Macaca mulatta: one gene and its partners. The protein of the gene in region 2 purifies or fractionates together with the protein of the main gene of each other region. This does not show direct contact. Links are inferred from orthologs where the notes say so. Each region holds a gene or a part of one and is shown on either strand. Other genes may lie near its edges. The genes, in order: SNU13, NOP58 and NUFIP1.

What was found.
Region 1: the proteins of NOP58 (region 2) and SNU13 fractionate together in Homo sapiens (co-fractionation; 3 studies listed by BioGRID and IntAct, with this or other methods). This does not show direct contact. The link is inferred for Macaca mulatta from reciprocal best matches to the Homo sapiens genes NOP58 and SNU13.
Region 3: the proteins of NOP58 (region 2) and NUFIP1 purify together in Homo sapiens (co-immunoprecipitation; 3 studies listed by BioGRID and IntAct, with this or other methods). This does not show direct contact. The link is inferred for Macaca mulatta from reciprocal best matches to the Homo sapiens genes NOP58 and NUFIP1.

What each region holds. Positions count from the first base shown.
Region 1 is NC_133415.1:9,821,616-9,825,365, reverse strand, and holds the start of SNU13 (NHP2-like protein 1), read right to left. Parts: upstream 2,552-3,750; 5' UTR 2,469-2,551; coding exon of another isoform or gene 2,466-2,468; exon of another isoform or gene 778-2,465; intron 450-777; exon of another isoform or gene 200-449; intron 1-199.
Region 2 is NC_133417.1:107,472,750-107,476,399, reverse strand, and holds part of NOP58 (nucleolar protein 58), read right to left. Parts: intron 3,207-3,650; coding exon 3,061-3,206; intron 3,000-3,060; exon of another isoform or gene 2,912-2,999; intron 1,397-2,911; coding exon 1,270-1,396; intron 1,123-1,269; exon of another isoform or gene 1,039-1,122; intron 1-1,038. UniProt on the Homo sapiens protein: Required for the biogenesis of box C/D snoRNAs such as U3, U8 and U14 snoRNAs. Part of the small subunit (SSU) processome, first precursor of the small eukaryotic ribosomal subunit.
Region 3 is NC_133422.1:24,297,296-24,301,045, forward strand, and holds the start of NUFIP1 (FMR1-interacting protein NUFIP1), read right to left. Parts: upstream 2,409-3,750; 5' UTR 2,373-2,408; coding exon 1,961-2,372; intron 1-1,960. UniProt on the Homo sapiens protein: Binds RNA.

The DNA of each region.
Region 1 (3,750 bases), on a different chromosome or scaffold from region 2:
CCGAGGCAGGCAGATTACTTGAGGTCAGGAGTTTGAGACCAGCCTGACCAACACAGCAAAACCCTGTCTCTATTAAAAAACAAAAACAAAAAATAGCTGGGCGTGGTGGTGCGTGCCTGTAATCCCAGCTACTTGGGAGGCTGAGACAGGAGAATCGCTTGAACCCGGGAGACAGAGGTTTCAGTGAGTCGAGATCCACCTGCCTCGGCCTCCCAAAGTGCTGGGATTAAAGGTGTGAGCCACCACATCCGGCCATACAAATATGTTTTATTTGATACTACAGTAGGGATTTTATTTTTTTTTTGGGACAGAGTCTTGCTTTGTCACCCAGGCTGTAGTGCAGTGGCACGATGTCAGCTCACTGCAACCACGGCCTCCCCGGATATAGTGATTCTTCTGCCTCAGCCTCCTAAGTAGCTGGGATTACAGGTATGCACCGCCATGCCCGCCTAATTTTTGTATTTTTAGTAGAGATGGGGTTTCACCATGTTGGTCATGCTGGTCTTGAACTCTTGACCTCATGATCCGCCCACCTCGGCCTCCCAAAGTGCTGGGATTACAGGTGTGAGCCACCGTACCCGGCTGGAAATTTTGGTTAATAATTTATCACCTTTTATTTTATTTATTTATATTTTTTGAGACGGAGTCTCACACTGTCACCCGGGCTGAAGTGCAGTGGCGCGATCTTGGCTCACTGCAACCTCTGCCTCCCAGGTTCAAGCGATTCTCCTTGCCTCAGCCTCCCAAAGAGCTGGGATTACAGGTGCCCGCCACCACGCCTGGCTAATTTTTTTGTATTTTTAGTAGACAGGGTTTCACTATGTTGGCCAGGCAGGTCTTGAACTCCTGACCCCATAATCCACCCGCCTTGGCCTCCCAAAGTGCTGGGATTACAGGCATGAGGCACCGTGCCTGGCCCTGTCCCACATTTTAAAATAGATATACTTAAAAATATTATGTGGAACCCCCAAAGTACATACAACTATGATATGTCAATTTAAAAAAACTTTTAAAATTGCTGTTGTTTCCAACAACCCATTCTCTGGAAATCAGGATCCTCAACTCTCAATAAATATCAAATTCATAAGAGGAAAACTTCAGGAATCTGAACAGCCATCAAATACCTAAATGTTTCACTATTAGTAAACAAAAAGTTAAACTCAATTTTAAAACCAAACTACCTAGCTTATAAACACTAATTGAAACTTGCTTAGGGTGTATTTATTCGCCTTTCAATTTCTTCAGAGGTTAAATAAATTAATGAATGATAGCATACCACCAGCCAACCTAAATCCGTACCTAGCGTGATCAGTTTGGTTTCCCTGTACACCAGACAGCCAAAACTTGCAAGGTTTTGATTGGACAACAAATACTGCGTGCTCACTCTGTGCCAAGCATGAGGACTAGATGTTTAACATGCTTTATTTCATCTGATCCTCACAACATCCTGATGCACTGTCATTCCCATTTTACAGTTGAGGAAAACTGCAAAGTTCAACCTGAGACCATCCGATTCCAAAACGTTTCAGGGAACTGCATAAAAGCGAGCACTGAGTTTGAAAGCTTCGAGTTCTAGGCTCAGCCACGCACTAAGCTTCAAAATGCATGGGAGGAGGTTTGGGGGGAGTGCTACCGCCGGGATCCAAGCTCCGCTGGAAGGATTAACTATAAACGTTACAGTGCTTTGCAAATTCTTCCCTCCTCACCAAGTGCCAACCAAAACGACTACGCCAGGACACACGTTTTAGAACTTTCCCTAGATATTTAAAAGTCAGAGACGACCAAGAATTCAGAGACGCCGCACGTGGTGCTACCAGACTTCTGGGTTTTGAAGCCACCACCTTGCGGGAGAAGCCCTTCCTGCGCTCCAGGCCGTGAGTCGCGCTCACTTCATGTTCCCCACAGCCCCCAATTGCCAAAGTCTCCTCTAGGTCCCTGGCGCGTGTGACTCGCGGCGAGCACTAGGCGCACACCCACAGGAGATCTCCTGGACCCCAGCAACGGGGGTGGGGTGAGGTAGGGTGGGTAGGAGAGGTTGATCCGAATCCCAGGGTCCCACGCCATCGTAGATTTCGTACTTAAAGAAACAAGGGGAAAAAAAAGTTGGAGCCAAATTTTCTTCACCCAACTTTTTGCCCTCTCCCACGTGGGTTGGTCTCTTTCTCCCGCTAGGCCATGCCCCCTCCGCTCGCCGCAGACCTTCTGCCACGCAAACAGATCGTGCGGCAAAGCACCACAGCAGCGGGGATCCCTGAGGTTTCCTGAGTTCTAACCTCGAGTTCTAACCTCGGGCCAGGCTGTTGGGAACCCGCGGCTGCTGGAGTTCTAACTCAGGGCCCGGCGGTTAAGACCCAGCGCCGGCGGATGAGACGGCGCAGGGTCTAAGCCTTCATCTAACAGGCCAGGGAGTGAACGCAACCCCGAGTCTCCTGCTTCCCGGTCCCTTGGCCGGCGCACGCACTCACCATGGCTGCTGTTCCGCGGGCTCGGCACTTCTAGGAGAGCGCAGCCGACTTCTGAGCAGCGTTCGCCTCCACCGGAAAAACTCACTGAAGCAGCAGCGGAAACGGCCCCGCGCGGCAGGAAGCAAAGATGACGCTACGCAAGCGAGCTAGCGGGCCCCGCCCCCTACGGGGCACTGGCGCGGAAACTGGCTCTGTGTTGATGAAGGAACGTACTTTGGCGTTCTTATGAGCTGTCCAGTACAAATTATTGGCAGAAACAATGAATTAAAGATTCAAAAAATAACCCACCAGTCGGTCGCAGTGGCTTATGCCTGTAATCCTAGCACTTTGGGAGGCCGAGGCGGGCGGATCACTTGAGGACAGGAGTTCAAGACCAGCCTGGCCAACATGGCGAAACCCCGTCTCTACTAAAAATACAAAAATTAGCCAGGCGTGGTGGCGGGCGCCTGCAAACTCAGCTACTTGGGAGGCTGAAGCAGGAGAATCGCTTGAACCCCGGAGGTGGAGGCTGCAGTGAGCTGAGATCGTGCCACTGCACTCCAGCACTCCTGCTGGGGCAACAGAGCAAGACTCAAAGACCAAAAAAACAAAACAAAACAAAACAAAACAAAACAAGGCCGGGCGCGGTGGCTCACGCTTGTGATCCCAGCACTTTGGGAAGCTGAGGCGAGCGGATCACCTGAGGTTGAGAGTTCGAGACCAGCCTGACCAACACGGAGAAACCCCTGTCTCTACTAAAAATATAAAATTAGCCGAGGGTGGTGGCGCATGCCTGTAATCCCAGCTACTCGGCAGATTGAGGCGGGAGAATCGCTTGAACCTGGGAGGCGGAAGTTGCAGTGAGCAGAGATTGCGCCATTGCACTCCAGCCTGGGCAACAAGAGCAAAACTCGGTCTGAAAAAAAAAAAAATTCAGCCACTAAACGGTTAAGTCCTGGCTCATTATGATTGGCTGACGTCCCTGCCTGCTCAGATATTTATTTTGAATAGAACCTTTGGGTAAAAGAGTCTTCAGGGTAGCATTTATTTTCCCACCAACACTGATCCTAAGATGGGAAAAGTAATTACCCCATGGGAAATCAGGATACTGCAAGCAACGAGAAAGGGATGCTGAGTGGTTAAACAATAATACCTGTATTCAATACAGTGTTTATTAAATGTTTGATAATAGATAGAAGGACAGGCAGATCCAAGTATCTCATAGGAAGAAAGAAATCAAGCAGACTGCAGGTTATATAACCCCATCACACATTCAGGGAACTTAATCTCTTCATTCCAGAGGATG
Region 2 (3,650 bases):
ATTACAGGCTCACGCCACCAAGGCCAGCTAATTTTTGTGTTATTAGTAGAGATGGAATTTTACGATGTTGGCCAGGATGGCCTCGAACTCCTGACCTCAGGTGATTCACCCACCTCAGCCTCTCAAAGTGTTGGGATTATAGGTGTAAGCCACCACGCCTGGCCAACAAACACATACTTCTATTAACCCCTGCCATTGCTTACTGCTACAAGTTTAGCTGTACCTATGAAAATGGGTGGAGGCAATGAAATCATCTGATCTTATAGCTGAGGGCACTTGAATGAAATCTTTGATTAATGATGCAGCTAAAGGATATGCCAGGTCAGGCGCAGTGGCTCATGCCTGTAATCCCAACACTTTGGGAGGCCGAGGTGGGCAGATCACCTGAGGTCAGGTGTTTGAGACCAGCCTGGCCAACATGGCAAAAACCCTGTCTCAACTAAAAATGTAACAATTAGCCAGGCATGGTGGCAGCGCACGCCTGTAATTCCAGCAACTTAGGAGGCTGAGGCAGGACAATTGCTTGAACCCGGGAGGCGGAGGTTGCAGTGAGCCACTGCACTCCAGCCAGTGTAACAGACTGAAACTCCGTCTCAAACCAACAAACAAAAAAGGAGTTATGCTGTTTTAAACACTCTGATGCAGATGATATGGGATCTTTTTTGATGGATTATAACAATGTCTCCAAGTAACATAAAAATGATGAATCAGCACTTCATTGTATTTGTAGGTATTCAATTACATAGCATTTTAATTATAGCATATCATCCTTATAATACTGCCATACACATATACAAAGTTTTATTATAAATCAGTTGTTGAAAATATTTTTCAAAGTCAAACATATTACATCCGCACACTCAATAGTGAAACTAAGATAATCAATCGAGGGCATAAATCCTCTACAGTGATTTCTTAAAACTGTATTTAAATCTAGGTCTAGTGAGTTTTTATTATGAAAATGTTAACTGTTTTATCCTTCTGCATGCATCTGATTATTCTAATTAACCATAACAAACTTCTAACAATGGACTACAAGTGTCTCAGAAGAGGTAGTGACTAAAGATGCCTTCATTATCCAAAAGGAAATCAGGCAAACAAATAGAAATCATCATTGAACACCTGGCCCTTAGTGATCTCCTACATACCATCTACTTTTGTGTTATTAGCTAAAATTTCTTTAATAGCTGTGGTTTAAAGATGTAAACAAAATCCTAACCAGAAAATACTTCAAACACTCATATTTACAAACTACATTAAAACCATCACCTGCATGAGCAATAAGCCGTGCTCCAACTAATTCCCCAACCATGACTGTAACATTGGGTGCAATGGCCATCATTCGATTTTGCAGATATTCATAGAGCTGGGTTCGATATTCAGAGATTTCAATCACCTAGTATAAGGAATAAAGTGAGTCACAAATATCATGAGTAAAAACAGTATAAAATTCCTGTCTAAAACACTGGAGCCCTCAATCATGAAAGAGCAGCTACACAACCCTGGGTACATCAACTATGCCTAACATCAGTTTTCTTTTTGTTTTTTGAGACAGAGTCTTGCTCTGTCACCAGGCTGGAGTGCAGTGGTGCAATCTCGTGACGTCGTGATCCTAATATCAGTTTTCTATAAAATGGCTGTAGTGAGGACTTTCTTATGTAATGTATGTAAACTACCTAGTCCACTGCCTGAAAATGTAACTGTACTTTTAGAAGATTCTAGGCCAGGCACGGTGGCTCATGCCTGTAATCCCAGCACTTTGGGAGGCCGAGGCGAGCGGATCATGAGGTTAGGAGATTGAGACCATCCTGGCTAACACGGTGAAACCCCGTCTCTACTAAAAAATCAAAAAAACAAAAACAAAAACAAAACAAACAAAAAAAATCTAGCCAGGCCTGGTGACAGGCGCCTGTAGTCCCAGCTACTCGGGAGGCTGAGGCAAGAGACTGGCATGAAACCGGGAGGCGGAGCTTGCAGTGAGCTGAGATCGTGCCACTGCACTCCAGCCTGGGAGACAGGCGAGACTCTGTCTCAAAAAAAAAAAAAAAAAAAATTTAAGCGCTAAGCAGCTCCTAGGCCCAATGGCTCTCGCCTGTAGTTCCAGCACTTTGGGAGGTCGAGGCAGGTGGATCACAAGGTCAGGAGTTCAAGACCAGCCTGGCCAACATGTGAAACCCCATCTCTACTAAAAATAAAAAAATTAGCTGGGCATGGTGGCACGTGCCTGTAATCCCAGCTACTCGGGAGACTGAGGCAGGAGAATCGCTTAAACTGGGACCTGGGAGGTAGAGGTAGCAATGAGCCTGAGAATGTGCCACTGCACTCCAGCCTGGGCTATAGAGCGAGACTCTGTCTCCCAAAAAAAAAAAAGTTTCTAAGCAATAAACATTTGTGTCATGCTCTCTTTAATTCCCATATGACTATCTTCAAATCTGAAAGAAAAAAAAAAAAATCACAAGATATAGACATAAAACTCAGAATTAAAAAGCTCAATCCATAATTCTCTGCCATCCTTTTTGTTTTTTTTTTTTGAGATGGAGTTTTGCTCTTTTTGCCCAGGTTGGATGCAATGGTGCCATCTCGGCTCACTGCAACCTCTACCTCCCTAGTTCAAGCGATTCTGTCTCAGCCTCCTGAGTAGCTGGGATTACAGGTGCATGCCACCACGCACAGCTAATTTTTGTATTTTTAGCAGAGATGGGGTTTCATTATATTGGTCAGGCTGGTCTCAAACTCCTGACCTCAGGTGATTCACTTTGGCCTCCCAAAGTGCAGGGATTACAGGCGTGAGCCAACACGCCCAGCGTCTTCTCTGCTGTCTTAATTGATTTTTGGTTAATTCATTATTCAGACGATGATTGTAAATTACTTCCTTTTAATATGTATTTCCCCCTTTTAAGTATACAAATCATGATGGCATCAGATGAGGTAGTGACTGAACACCCTCATATTTATGTTATCAGGTGAACAACAGTAAGTGTAAATCATCATTGCCATCAGAAAAATTAGCATTATAGAGCTGGTAACACCACAACTAGATTCTCCAGAAGTAAAATTTACCTGGGTGCAAAGATGCAGAATATTGCAAATATCTTCTTCTGAAACCTCTGTTCCCATTGATATCTCTGCAGCTGCTTTCACTTCTGCTTCAACTTCTTCCGGCAGCAACTCAGAAAGTTTGGCAGAGGCATAGTTCTTCCTATCGCCTATGGAATGTTTGCAGAGGATGAGGGAGAATCACTCTTCAACAAATTATATAAAATCCAGCAAACAGTCAAAAGAAAAAGTAGAAAGCCAATGAAAAGGATGCCTAAACAAAACAAAAAAATGAAGAAGTTTGACCTAGTATAATAGTTTTCCTCATTTAAGGGTTTAAGTTTAGACATGAAATGTCTCCTCAACACCTTCCTCCAAAAAATAATCAGAGTAAAAACAAGACAAAATATGCCACAAAACTTATTACAGAAAATAAGTAGCAAAAATTTAAAAAGACAGGACTAATAATAATGTCACAGACAATTTTATACTAAAGCTGGGGCCAGTAATTTGTAAGTCAAGTAAACCATGAATCAATCAAGTTCCTTTGCACATTAACAAAAATCAACCAATCAAGTTCCTCTGTATATTAACAGTAGAGACAGCAATCCTGT
Region 3 (3,750 bases), on a different chromosome or scaffold from region 2:
AGTAGCCTCGACTTCCTGGGCTCAAGGAATCCTCCTGCCTCAGCCTCCCATGCACCTGGGACCACAGGCATGCCACTATGCCTGGTTAATTTTATTTTTTTTGTAGAGACGGGGGTCTCACTTTGTTGCCCAGGCAGGTCTCAAACTCCTGGGCTCAAGCAATCCTCTTGTCTCTGCCTCTCAAAGTGCTGAGATTAGGCTAGGTGCAGTGGCTCATGCTTGTAATCCCAGCACTTTCAGAGGCCAAGGAGGGTGGATCGCTTGAGGTCAGGAGTTTGAGATCAGCCTGGCCAACATGGTGAAACTTTGTCTCTACTAAAAATACAAAAATTAGCCAGGCTTGGTGGTGGACACCTGTAATAACAGCTACTCGGGAGGCTGAGGCAGGAGAATCACTTGAACCTTGGAGGTGGAGGTTGCAGTGAGCCAAGATCGCGCCATTGCACTCCAGCCTGAGCAACAGAGACTCTGTCTCAACAAATTTAAAAACAGAAATAAATAAAGTGCCGAGATTATAGGTGTGAGTTACCCTGCTCAGCCTAAAGTATTTTTTAATCAAGGTATGTAAGTTGTTTTTTGAGACATAATGGTATTGCACACTTAATAGACTGTGGTATAATGTAAAAATAACTTTTTTGCCCCATATGATCTGCAGGAAAACATAACTTTTACATGCACTGGAAAACCAAAAAAAAAAAAAAATTGTGTGACTTGCTTTACTGCAGTGGTCTGTAATTGAACCCACAAGAGCTCCAAGGTATCCCTAGATCTAGAATCCAACTACTTCTCACCATCCTTTGGGCTTCACCTTGGTCCAAGTCTCCAGTGTCTCTCATTTAGACAAGTAATTACAATAGCTTCCTAACCGGTTTCCCTTTCAGTCAGTTCCCACCAACAGACACATTAATCCTCTTAAGTAAATCAGATCATGTCAATCCCCTGTACTACCCACCTCACAACAGTAAAAGTCAGAGTCCCACGATCTACAAAGATATACCAGGTCTTACCCTCTTCCCCCATCTTCTACAATTATACTCCAGACTCAGTCCTCTGTAGCCACGCTGGTTCCCATTTTGATGTATAGCTTCTAAGCCTTAAGGCCTTTGCACTTGCAGTTCCTTCTGCCTATACCCCTATTCTCCCAGATGTATGCATGGCTGTGATCCCTCACCTCCCTGAAGTCTTTGCTCATATGTCACCTTTCTTATGACTAACAATGATATTTAAAACTGCACTACCCGGCCGGGCACGGTGGCTCACGCCTGTAATCCCAACACTCTGGGAGGCCGAAACGGGCGGATGCCTGAGCTCAGGAGTTCGAGACAGGCCTGGCCAACACGGCGCAACCCCATCTCTACTAAAAATACAAAAAATTAGCCAGGCGTGGTGGCGCGGGCCTGTAGTCCCAGCTACTCGGGAGTTTGACGCACGAGAATTGCTTGAACCCGGCAGAGGTTGCAGTGAGCCTCTCTGCAGATTGCATAGGCTGGAGTGAAGTAGATCGCGCTACTCTTCACTCCACCCCGGGCGACAGAGGCGCTCTGTCTCCAAAAAAGAAAAGAAAAGAAAAAAAAAAAGAAAACCCTGCACTACTTACCATTCTTCTTTGTTTTATCTCTCTCCACTGCACTCTTAACCTTCTAATGCACAATATTTTATTTTATTGTCTGTCTTCCTACACAAGAGAGATATTAATATTAAGCTCCGTAATATTTTTTGTATGTTCTGCTCACTGCTATATACCTAAATTCTGGTACATAGTTGGAATTCAATAAACAACTGCTAAATGGAATTAACAGGCAACAGGAAAACATTCCAATCAGATATATTTTGAGATACTAATGACCAGACTCCAAGAGTGCAGAGGCAAGGCAGAGTGGAGTGAGGAAACGGAGAAACGGGAGAGGAAAGAACGGGGAAAAAAGGTAAAGGGGTTGACCCACGTGGAAAAATAGCCTACCTGGAGGGTTGAAGGACTTCTGATGCCGAGGAAACCTATCAGAAGACTGTCTCCAATACCATGATGTCGAAGCGTGGAAATTCCAAGGTTGGCCGTTGGGTTGAGGTTGAGAATCAAGAGGGGACTGGGCGTCGAAAGGGGGTTGCGCCCCGGGAAGAATCTGAGCGTCGAAGGGGGGCGGCGCCCCAGGAAGAGACTGGGCCTCCATGGGGGGCTGCGACTCAGAGGAAGGCTTTGACCCGGCTGCGGGAAGCGAGGACGTAAGCGGTGGTGGCGGCGGCGGCAGCATTGCCCAGAACACCCAGCTGTCCCGTGGCGGGGCAGTGTCGCTCAGCGGCCCTAACGTGGGAGTCAGCTCGGGAGACGCACGCCACCCGGTTGGAGTCACGAAATCACTAGCCGGCTCAGCCATACCACCTGCAAGGTCCGGAGTCTAGCACGCGACTGTGGAGCAAGCATTAGGCGTCACTTCCTTTACGGTGAACTACGCCGCTCAGCCAACCACAGGCCTTACGTCATTGGTCGGCGTCGGGAAACCTTCCATTCTTTGCTGCTGATCGCGGGATTCCATTTGGGTAGTTTTGACGTTCGTGGATAGACTCGTATCTGTGACCAGTGTCAGCCACCGCGGATGGCAAGAGACCTAATCGGACCGGCCCTGCCGCCCGGCTTCAAGGCCCGCGGAACAGCGGAGGACGAAGAGCGGGACCCGAGCCCTGGTAAGCGGCTGCGTCTCCGCTGCCCACCAGGCCCATCTACCCCCTCCCTGGGCCGGCCCTGCTCGCTGAAGAAAGTCGGAGGCCTAGGAGGGCTGAGGAATGGGGAGTGGGCGCGGCCCGACCCGAGAGAACTTTTTTTCCCTAACGGTAGCAGTGGGGAGGAGGCTGGGGGACCCTCCTAGAAACCGAGCTTTTGCGTGATTTGGCTTCGTGATGATAATACATTCTCATTTAGCGCTTAATAAAAACTGCACGCTGCCCTAACTGACTGATATCCATTCAGTCATTTAAGCCGTATAAGGAAAAGACTATTTTCCCATGTTGCAAATGGGTACGCCCAAGCCCATGCCAGCGTAGATCATACTGCTAGCAAGTGATGGAGCGCGACTTAGAAGGAAGCGTTTCTCCTAACCTCTGTGCCATATTGCCTTCTGATTTACAAGAACCTTGCAGATCCTGTTCTCTCCAGCCCCCGACCTGCTTTCCTTGCCTCTAATTCTGTTATTGCATCTGACACATCAGCCCAGTACTCAATCCAGCCTGAGTTGCTGCGCAGTTCCTTAACGCTCTAGGCTTCTGGGCTTCCTCTGGTTACATTTCTAAACATAACTGACAAACATCTCCCTATCCTTCAAGGCCCAACTTAAATGTCATACCAATAAAACCTTTCCAGATTCCCCAAAGCATTGTCACGCCTTTCTTTTTGCCCTCGGGTTTTTTCCTAATTACATTGCATATTTGGTACACTATATTTGAATAATTTGTCGACATAATCTGTCCCCACCATTGCACTATGGTCTTCTACCTGAACACGCAACAGGCACTTTGTATATACGAAACGAATGCTTCTCAGATTCCGCCATGCATACCTATCTGCTTTAATGTTTATCACATTTGTGGACTAGCACCGACAACCCAGTTGGAGAAGAGTAAAGCTGAGTAGCCCTGCCATTTCTGAATCTAATTTTTCTTCCTGGTCTACCCGGAGGTCATGTTTCTACTACAGGCCCCTTTCCAATCTAATTTCTGTTATAACCATTTTGAAAATTATGCTTTCCAGCCGGGCGAGGT